3 linked regions of the Saccharomyces cerevisiae S288C genome follow. The gene in region 2 interacts genetically with the main gene of each other region. Each region holds a gene or a part of one and is shown on either strand. Other genes may lie near its edges.

The links.
Region 1: mutations in ARO1 (region 2) and CKA1 together harm fitness more than expected from each alone (negative genetic interaction), as found in Saccharomyces cerevisiae (4 studies listed by BioGRID).
Region 3: mutations in ARO1 (region 2) and SNF1 together harm fitness more than expected from each alone (negative genetic interaction), as found in Saccharomyces cerevisiae (4 studies listed by BioGRID).

Annotation. Positions count from the first base shown.
Region 1 is NC_001141.2:287,131-290,715, forward strand, and holds CKA1 (casein kinase 2 catalytic subunit CKA1), read right to left. Parts: upstream 1,779-3,585; coding exon 660-1,778; downstream 1-659. Other genes in the region: CST6 (Cst6p), read left to right, coding at 1-299; CAP2 (F-actin-capping protein subunit beta), read right to left, coding at 2,096-2,959; cAMP-dependent protein kinase regulatory subunit BCY1, read right to left, coding at 3,289-3,585.
Region 2 is NC_001136.10:702,367-706,125, reverse strand, and holds the start of ARO1 (pentafunctional protein ARO1p), read right to left. Parts: upstream 1,643-3,759; coding exon 1-1,642. Other genes in the region: palmitoyltransferase SWF1, read right to left, coding at 1,882-2,892; ECM18 (alpha/beta hydrolase family protein), read left to right, coding at 3,368-3,759. UniProt on the Saccharomyces cerevisiae protein: The AROM polypeptide catalyzes 5 consecutive enzymatic reactions in prechorismate polyaromatic amino acid biosynthesis.
Region 3 is NC_001136.10:1,410,441-1,414,199, reverse strand, and holds the start of SNF1 (AMP-activated serine/threonine-protein kinase catalytic subunit SNF1), read right to left. Parts: upstream 1,828-3,759; coding exon 1-1,827. Other genes in the region: YDR476C (uncharacterized protein), read left to right, coding at 3,073-3,747. UniProt on the Saccharomyces cerevisiae protein: Serine/threonine protein kinase essential for release from glucose repression.

The sequences.
Region 1 (3,585 bases), on a different chromosome or scaffold from region 2:
TACGTGAACATGAAAAACTAAATAAAGACTCAGATAATAATGTTAATGGCACTAATAGTAGCAACAAAAATGAAAGCATGACTGTGGATTCATTAAAGATCATTGAAGAACTTTTAATGATCGATTCAGACGTTACAGAAGTGGATAAAGATACTGGTAAGATCATAGCCATCAAGCACGAGCCATACTCTCAACGTTTCGGAAGCGATACTGACGATGACGATATAGATCTCAAGCCCGTAGAAGGTGGTAAGGATCCAGACAACCAATCATTACCCAATTCTGAAAAGATAAAATAACAAAGTTTTGGTGAGCACAACGGTGTTTCATTCAAGAATGATAAGGACAACTATATATGTAATATACGTGTATAAATACTCGAGCTGCATCCTTTCTTTTCTGCCGTTATTATTTCGTTTAGTTACTACATTTATGGTATAAATTACCTTTAAGACATTATTATTTTGCATGTATGAAATTTGCTCGTGTCAACCCCTTAGTCCTCCTTGCCTCTGTTGTATGGAGGAAGCCCTTTAAACCTGTATTTAGTTTTTTAAATCTATTAGAATTAAGTACAATTGTACAGATGGTAAAAAAAAGTAATCGTTATATCGTTTGTCAGTGATTTTTTTTTTTTTATTTCATTCATTATTTATTTCTTATTTTTCAATTTGTTCCCTTATTGGGGCAAACCACGGGTGTCCCATCGCTTCCTTAGCAGTTAATCTTTCTTGATGATCATATCTCAAAAGATTGTCAATAAGGTCAATAATTTCATCGTTGCCGCTTAAATGTTTATTACCATCATTGATGAATCTATGCCAAGGCTTTCTGATGTATTGGTCCATATCGTAAAATTCTCTCGGTAAGGTAATTTCATACTTCAACAGGTATTTCTCAAAATCGCTTGTACCAAGTACTTTGACGATCTTGACAAGCTGGTCTGTGTTACTCGTTCCATGGAAAAATGGCTCTCTTTTAAAGATCATAGAAGCCAACATTGTCCCAAACGACCACAAGTCTAAAGAATAATCATACATTCTGTAGTCAACTAGTAGTTCAGGACCCTTAAAAAACCTCGACGCAACACGAACATTGTATTCCATATTAACATGATAAAATTCAGCAAGCCCCCAATCTATCAATCGCAATTTTTTATTCTTATGATCAATCATTACGTTATGAGGTTTAACATCTCTATGCATTATTCCCATTGAATGACAATAGTCTAAGGCCTTTAATAACTCAAACATATAAAACCTAATTTCGAGATCGGTTAATTTAGGGTAAAGAATACGGAAGTCCACATTATCTACGTATTCGAAGACCAAAGCCGGAGTTTTTGAGATGGGATCCTTTATTATATCAAATAGATGAATTATGTTTGCATGACCATTGTGTGGCTGATCAAAGATATAGGGCCTGATGAATTTTAAAACGTCCTCCTTTTGATTTGTGTAATATTGATCTTTTTGAAATGGCAAAGTCGTTGGAGGCACTTTTTCGTTAGACAAATCCGTTAAGATTTTGATTTCTCTCTTGATCTTCTTCTTTTTAACTGGTTTCAACATCTTAATAACAATTTTAACTTTAGAGTCTAATTTGACACCTTGGAAAACCTCGGAGTATTTTCCTCGCCCAACTTTATTTTCAATTTCATAGTCCTTTGTATTTGTGGACCAATCAATTACAGTATTTTCATAATCCCAATATTCCTCGGTTCTTTGTTTATTGATATTCGTATAAACACGAGCCTCTGACCATACCCTGCATTTCATAGTTCGAATCAAATATTCCTTCTACAACCCCCTATTTTTGTCTGTATATTTGACTTCTTAAGTCCCTATTCAGAAAACTCCTAGTAGGTAATTGCAATACACCGAGTATCAACAGTATATGAAGTCCCTTAATCCGTTTTACTACAGGACTGCGAGGTTCGTCTAATTGCTACTGAAATTTTCCAAGCGTTGGTCATATTTTTGATTTTTCGCTTTTTCTTCAGTGTTCGTTCCGAGTGATTTTTGATAGCGCTTTTCTACCACTTAGTGCTGCTGTATGTATTTATATGATATACCAGCGATACATGTAAATATTTCTATAAAGACTGTAAACCTCTGATTACCTCTGCCTGTGCGTCTTTATTCGCTTCCTCAGCAGAGGAAGCAATGGCTGCGTTCTTTGTTTGGTGGAAGATATCTCTTGTCTTTTCGAAATAAACAGTTTCCAATAGATTTCTCATCTGAGACTCAATGTCCTCAATTAAGGAACCCAAATTAGCGACATGTGATGTGAAAATAACATCTAATGGACGGGACATATCAATAGCGATGTCCTTTTCGGTCTGTCTTGTCAGGTTCCCGGATAACATCATATGAGAATTCTGGTCAGTTTTTGTTTTGTCCAAGTGCAGAATGATTGTAGTGGTGACTCTATAGTTGAAACTGTCGGGAGAAGAAGGAGATGTTGTAACTTCAAAAACATGGATACTGTCCCAATTACTGTGATCTGATTGGTTTTTTTTGAAAAGCACTACCCCTGCAAAATCGTGCCCATTGAAATCTTCTTCATTGAGGTCCCAGAGGTACACGCTGGAGATACCGCCTTCATAATAGAGATCTCTGTAAACGTCGAAAGAGTCATTGGCTAAGATCTCCAATTTTCTTAAAGGGGCTGAGGGAAAGGGGCTGTCTTGTAGATCCTTTGGGGATAGTTCTGGGTAATAAGTGTTCGACCAAGGCGATCTGAACGAATCAATATCACGATTATAGTCGCAGCATAAGTACTCCCGGTTTGAATCGGCGGAATCTTTCTGTGTGGATAGGGGAACGTCTACTGAAGATAGTAAATCTTGTGCCAAATTTGGTTGTAATTCGATCAAGTTGTTTAGATTCTCCTGTAACGTGGTAGGATTTAGCCTCCTAAGAAGATCTAAAGCAGCATCGAATTGAGCATCAGACATTACGGTGGTGATTGTAGAGTTGGAGAGAGTTTTTGTATGTCACTTGATTGAACAGTTCTCCTTTATTTGTTACAAATGCTCTCATTTTTACGTTTTCCGTGGTGAAAAAAAAAAAAAAAAATGAACATATATACATGTAGTAACAGCAGTAGTAGATGAAGAATTTAGAGTTTAAACAGGTAACATAACGCTATAAGGGAAAGGAAAGTGGAGATGTTATACATTATATTTACGTAGACGTTGAAGGAAGAAGAAAGAAAAAGGGAACAGAAGAAGAAGAAAAAGAGAAAGGAAATTCATGTGGATTTAAGATCGCTTCCCCTTTTTACTTAATGTCTTGTAGGATCATTGAGCTTTAATACGTCTACTGCAGGACCCAGTAAACGTTGAAAACCACTTTTCCCCAATGTGGCAACTTTGGTTCTCTTTGTAGCAGTCACAGTGGCCTGTCTGGGCAAATCGTTTAGCAAGGCCACTTCACCGAAATAATCATGGTCTTTCAGTTTATTTATGACACCTTGGCCCTTCTTAGAGACGTCCACAGCTCCGTACTCAATTAAATAAAAGTTCTCCCCTTGATCACCCTCGCGAATGATTGTTTCACCCGGCTGGTAGATCTTGGTATC
Region 2 (3,759 bases):
TAGTACCATTAGCACGCAAAGAATCGACCAAAGGAGCAATTGGTCTTTGTTGCATTCTTGCGTTACCAGTTAAAACGATATACTTTTGGCTTGAAGTAGAATTGACCAAGGCAGCCAAGGAAGTCAAAAATCTAGATGCAGTACCTGCATTACCTAGATATAAGGGGTCAGCACAAGCTGACAATGTGGAACCACCATGTCCTTCCACCACTACCGTCTCACCATTATCTTCCCATGATATCGTAGCACCTTTCAATTCATGAACAGCGGTTAACATATGTTTAGTATCATCAGAATGTAATAAGTTCTTGATTTTACATTGACCTTCACCGAGGGCAGCAAGAATTAAAGCACGATTGGAGATGGACTTAGAACCAGGGGGGATAACAACTTTCTGTTGATCAGCAGGGATGTCCTTGAAGGGGTAAACGAGGGTTTCATCTGTTAGAATAAATCTCAGGTCTTCATCGCTAACAAATTGAGCGGAGTCACCATAGCACTTACCAATACTTTCTAAAATGACCACCTTCTTTTTGGAACCCTCGTTTTTCTTGTCAATACTCATTTTCTTCAATAAGATATCCAATGGTGTTTTCTTATGTAAGGTTAGCTCTTTAAACCATTTCTCATCAGGCGAAACAGGCAACCCGTAGGCAACCAAAATCTTGGATAGACGTGCAACTTGGGTAGGGGAGAGAATACCGAAATAACGGGATAATTCCGCCTCTTTAACCATACCAATGGACACACATTCACCATGTAATGCTTGTGGGGTTAGTATAGCTTCATAAGCATGACCAATAGAATGTCCGAAGTTCAAAAGGTTTCTTAGACTGGATTCACGTTCATCCGAAGAGACAACTTCCGCTTTGACCTTAATACTCTCAAGAACTAACTTATATGTATGATCCAACATAGCTTCAATATCTGTATTCGATATCTCGTCAATCTCGTTTGTCAATTGATTGGTAACCTTGACATTTTTTGCCCCATTAACAACATTTAAGAACAACGAAGCGTTTGATTCTAATCTAGTAAATTCGTCAGCGTTCCAAATACAAGCAGTCTTGATAACTTCTGCCATCCCATTGATAAACTCTCTCTTGGCTAACGTTTCTAGCCATTTAATATCTACAAGGACAAATTTTGGTTGCCAAAATGCACCAATAAAGTTTTTACCTAGAGGAGTGTCAATAGCAGTTTTACCACCAATGGAGGAATCGACCATTGCCAATAAGGATGTTGGTACTTGGACAACACGAACACCTCTCATAAATGTAGATGCAACGAACCCAATCATGTCACCAATAACACCACCACCGATCGCTACCATAACCGTATCACGAGTACATCCTTCCACTAAAAGATAATCTTCTAGCTGCGCTTTGGTTTCTCTACTTTTACTTGTCTCACCTGGTTTAACAACATAAGTAAGTAAACGAGAGCCTTCTGGCAAAGAAGCCTTGAATTCCAGGACTAATTGCTGGTAGTATGGAACTTTACTCAAGTTCGTATCATTGCAAATAACGTATGTCGAAGAAGGACAATGTTTAATTATGGTTTCAACCAAATGGTCATGAATGTTATACCCAACGTGGATAATATCATTTCCTAGAATTGGGACTTTGGCTAACTGCACCATCGTAATATACAATTATCTTACGTAGGGATTTCTCAACTAGGAGATTATATAAACTTGAACGACCGAGTATAGCTGTGATCTGTTACTAATGGTTACGAGTCGGCGTCCTACCTTCTATATTAATAAACCGCTTGTATAATGAATTTGTTCGACATTTGCGGTTAGAATCTATGGCGGTGAGAAAAAACCGAGTGAAAAAAAATTTCATGTTCGGGATGAGTCATATGCATGACAATTTACTATATTAAATCTGTGAGATTGGCCAGGAAGGTACCTTTGTCATATATATTGGGAATTTCGGACGCGTCTTTAATCGTGATGTAGTGTGTAAGGTTGTAGTGCTTATGGTCGTAGGCATTCGTGCTATAAAACGTAACATGTTGATCTTGGAGTGGTTCAGCAGCGTCATCTTTTTGTTCTGTGCATTTGAAAAACCAAGATGGGCAATCATCATCCAATGATCTCACCAGTTTTCCTTCTCTCATATACTCTTGAATGGTATACCATTTATCTTGCTCATTTGTAGTCATTCCCTCCTTTACAATGGCCAATTGAAGATACGTGAAAATAGCGCAGATGATAGTGAAGCATCCACATAATATGGTAAGAGTCAGAACAGCTCTAGGGAGCGTACTTGTGCTATTTAAAGAAATGTACCACAGCCTTAGAAAGGCGTAGCACATCGAGAATATGTTGGAAATTAGGAAAAGGTAGAATTGAAGGTAGTTTCCCTTTCCGATGCAGTTATTTATCCAGATGCAATGATGGTCGGCGACGAGAACGCATCGGTTGCAAATGCTACAATGTTTGGATCTAGCAGGCTTGACGATCCGGCATGTCGAACACTTTATGGCAGGATAATACAATAGGTAATCATATGGATATTCCTCTGTCGAGCCTGATTTATGATCCTTTGAATCCTCAGCTCTGCTTACCATGGCTAGAATTCCTAATGCTACCGGCGGTAGTATAATTATAGGCACGATCAGTATTCGTTCTAAAAGGAATAGCTCATTCTTAATCGTAGACTCCACTCTCATGTGGTATGTATATACTAGGTACAGGTAAATAGAGGTGTAGAAAAGAGGTACTAAATGCAACTTCCAACGATATTTTTGGTCATCCACTAGGAAGGGCTGAAACACATTACGATAGAAAGTCGAAAATGGCCATGTTGACTTGAAGACGGGCGAAAGTAATATCAAAACTACGAATCCTATTAGCAGCACAAATAGTAGATTCCATGACATTGTTTGTTCTTTTCATGTTAGGAGACAAAGATATCTTCTTTGGAGGCATAATGAAGTTTTTTTTAGGAAGGCGGAAGTATATATACAATGACACTACCTTTGTTGATAGCTACGAATTTCCTAAAGAGAAAGTATATTGTAGTATTTATATGAGTTGCATAGTACGTTATTCAAGGATAAAATGCCGAATAAATGCTTTAGATGATTTAAAATTCTGTATCGGATGGTTTTAATTAAAAAGTTTCGTTGGAGGTTTTCACCTCATTTTTGAAAAATAAAAATTCAGACCAAAACATTAATTATTTTGGCTTTGAATATACTGACCTCCTGGAAAGCCCTTGGACATTACTAAAATTGAGACAACTGTTTCGATTCCAGCTTAGAACTCCACAGAGCTTCACATGTTTTACACCTCTATTTATATATTCTGACAGTTTCCTTATGCCTTTCCAGTTTAAGGATGAGCGAATGAAAAATGCTTTTAATAAAGAGGTACTTGATGGACCCTGAAAGTTTAAGGAGGCAGATAATGAATGTATATAAATGTTACATGTGGAAGAGAGCGTTCCACAGTAATAGAAGCCTACTGGAAGTTAAACGTCGTGAAAAGAGTCTCCAGAGAAAAATTTTGGAAAGGATTCTTAGACCCAAGGAGGAAAATGCTGTCAAAAAATCTGGATTCAAGCTATGGTCAAGCCATTTGAATAACCCACACAAAACTTATATGCGGCTGGAGGAATTACAGAGACGTATTATGGAAGAGGTACACGTTGAAGGTATTAAAAAGAATGATAAGTTATTCAACGAAATAAATCAATGGCATTTCCAAAATGAAAACACAAGTACTGTTCGAACACCAACATTGCT
Region 3 (3,759 bases), 710 kb from region 2:
AGTACTCATTTCATCTTCAGAAATATTAGAAACAGTAGTATCATCTCCATAACTACTTTCCCAGCCGTCAAATTTGAAATCCACCAAATAATTATTGGTTTCAATTTGAAATAATTGAATTACCATTTTCATTAAATCAGGTATTTTTTCATTAGTGTTTGTCTTGTTTCCAATATCATATTTCCACCTTAATTTGATAGTCCATAAATCCTCTTCAGATGGCTTGGCCCATTCGGCACCCAAATTCTTCAAGGCAATATAAATTTCACCCATAACGTCTAATGGATATGAGCGAGATCGTATACCAAAATGCCATCTCGTTTTAGATTTTTTCGTTACAAGAGGAGATATTTTAGAGGCAGCTGGCGAACCTTGTGCTAACATATTAGCTCTGTGGATCTGAGGTAAAGATGTAGGCAAAATGGAAACTGTAGAGTCTTCTTCTTTATACTGATCCATGAAGGGTGATTGGTGATATGTCCTTTGTTGAGTGATAGCACTTGCCATCCTTCTTGCGTGTTGCTTGGCAGTTTCATGATCTACTTGACTCTTTTGATGGGATTTGCTTTGTTGTTGAAAAGTTGGAGGTGACTGGGACAGAAAGGTATCCAGTTCATCACTGACGCTTTTGTTTGCCTTCATATCCTTGATCAAAGATTTATTCTCCTTAATCAACATGTACGCGTCCCTAATTTCGTTGAATGCAGGAGTGTCTTCTGATGATTCTAAGGACTCATAAATCTCGTCTTTTTCGTAACCCATGGTCGATGATAAAATATTGACAAGGTTGTCATCAATTTCATCGTTATCTGGGCTGCTGCCATCCTTTTTTGAGTCATTATTTTCATTCTCTTCTTCTGGGTGTGGTTTCAAATCTGGTGGAAGTAGATATTCTGGCAGGTCAACTTTGAACCAATCGTCTTGCATAATTTCATGAATGCTTATTCTGTTCAATGGATTAACGATTAACATTCTTTTGATTAGCCCAGCAGCTCCAGGAGATAAAAATTTAGGCAAGGTGTAAACACCGTTGCTGATATTCTTGAAAAGCACTGGGATGCTTTCATCGTCAAACGGTAGACGACGACAAAGCATAACATAAAGGATAACCCCACATGACCACACGTCCACTTCTGGGCCTGCGTACAGCTTACCGCTGATAACTTCAGGAGCCGCATAATTGGGAGAACCACAAGAAGTCTTTAAGAAATTACCATCAGTCATGATGTTTGACAAACCAAAATCGGCAATCTTTACATTCAGATGCTCATCTAGTAGTAAGTTTTCAGGCTTCAGATCTCTATGGACAATTTTGTGCCTATGGCAGTACTCGACGGCACTGATGATCTGCTGGAAAAATCTTCTTGCCTCTTGCTCGCTCATTTTGTCTCTCTGAACAATATAGTCAAACAATTCGTTCCCGGCGTACTCTATAACCATAATGATTTCATCTTTGGATTTGATAACATCATACAGTTTGATGATGTGGGGGTGTCTTAAGAGTCTCAGATAAGATATTTCTCTTTCAATTCTGCCCTGCATATCACTCTTTGCCAAAACCTTCTTATTAATGATTTTTAGAGCAACTTTTTGGCCCGTAGTGGTATGATATGCCAATTTAACTTTACCAAAGGACCCCTCTCCCAGCGTTTTGACGATTTGGTAGTTCCCGATATGTGCACCATCCGCTAAGGACGACTTGGGATTGTTTAGCGTCGAGTTGCTTCCGCCATGACCGTGATGGTGGTGGTGATGGTGGTGATGGTGGTGGTGGTGGCTAGAATTTGCATTGGCAGGTGCTGTGTTTGTGTTGTTGTTACTGCTCATGTTGACTTTATTAAGGGAGTGTAGCAAAACTTGTTACAAAAAAAAACTTCTATTTCTTTCGCTATGATTATTGAAACAGCCTCTATATATTATCAAAAGCCAATGACACTGAAACAATTTCTATTGTCGTGCTTTTTTTTTTTTTTTCAGGCTTCAATCTATTGTTTATCGTTATACTTCCTGAATGACTGTTTGGACACGAATGCGCAGTAAGAGGAAATGTGAAAAAAGAATATTTCGATAAATGAAAGTTCTGGTAACAAGCCTACAGTACTAAGCCCAAAGCTATGTCTTGGCCCCTATAACGCTACCTGTTGATGTGCCATACTCTTACCAACTTTCTTTTACGTTAAAAATTTCCATCCCCTTCCGCTACGAGAAAAACTGCAGAGGGTAACTATGACATGTACTTTCTAATATGGGCCTATAAGGACTATATACATATGACTAACATTGAGTAAAACCAGGTCTCGAGTCCCATCATCACGCCCATCCTTTTGCATCCACGCCGCCACGCAATTCCTCTTTTTTTGAAGTTACTTGCGTCATGTGGGACATCATATGGGACATCATAGCCTGCAAGATCGAGAGTTAAATATACGACTAAAAGAAATAGTAGCACACTGCCATTTCCAGCTTTTAGTCCCTTGGGGAAGGTTCAGCATTTGATAGCAAATGATTGTACAGTTTATAACCGTATCTAAACGTACGGACATGTTTTTTCCTAGGGCCTCTATTAAAAAAATCTTTGAAATTTCCCTTCAATGCCACCCTTTTTTGCCAGGCATTGGTGGCCATGATTTGTTATGGCTTCCAAGAAAAGGTTTTACTACAGACGCCTTTACTACAGAAGATGCCTCTTCCTATCGTGATTTGCCCTCCAGACAAAAGCCGCGGACATAACGATGGCGGATTGCATTAGACAATGATTGCTATACGGAGGCGAAAGAGATAGCTAGCGACTTCTTAAAGGCGACATTGCTCCGCTACAAACGTGGTGGAGTTTTAACCCTACGAATTCAGTTACAAGGTTGAAGTTAGTGAGCAGCTTCTGTTCTGCCGTTTCTTGCGCAGTCTTGAACTTTCTTGGTCTTGCCATGTGGTCGGGATATTCTGTTCGTTTATAATTACTCCTTGCCACAAAGTGCACACCTATTTGGATATGGTATATATAAAGAGTGGAGGCTTATATCGGCGAGAGCGTGCGTTCTATCAACTCAAGCAAGTATACGGGTATACACAAGTATGTGGGATTCGTTAATTGTAAGCATCAACGATACGCACAAGTTGGGGCTGGAGGATTGTCTCGCCGTTTTTGGCCACGTTCCCATTACCAAGGCCGTCAAGCATGTCAGACTGACAGAGATCGACACGCAGACGTCCACGTTTACGCTCAAGTTCCTTCACACAGAAACGGGTCAGAACATCGAGAAGATTATCTACTTCATTGACAATGACACGGGCAACGATACCCGCACTGCTACCGGAATCAAGCAAATCTTCAACAAGATGTTCCGCATCGCTGCGGAGAAGAGGAAGCTGTCGCTCATCCAGATCGACACTGTTGAGTACCCCTGCACTCTAGTAGACTTGTTGATCCTGGTAGGCGTGGCGCTACCGCCATTGTGCTACCTCTATCGTCCTGCACTGCACGCTATCTTTTTCCTGGTCCCTAATCCTGTGGGCTCCACCTTAGAGGCGTGGCTGGATAGTGATCTTGTGCTGCGACTCATCATTGTTGCCGAGTTCCTGACTCACGCCCTCGAGACGCTCATTTTCGTCGTCCCTAGGCTCAAGTACTACCGTGTTCCTGGCGAGTTCGTGCCCGAGTGGCTTCTTCTAGGTCTCCTCGAAGGTTACGGTCCTGCGAGACGTCTAGATACTAAGGCTCGCACTCTTGGCGAAGGGTCAGTTAATTAGTCCGAGGCCTTT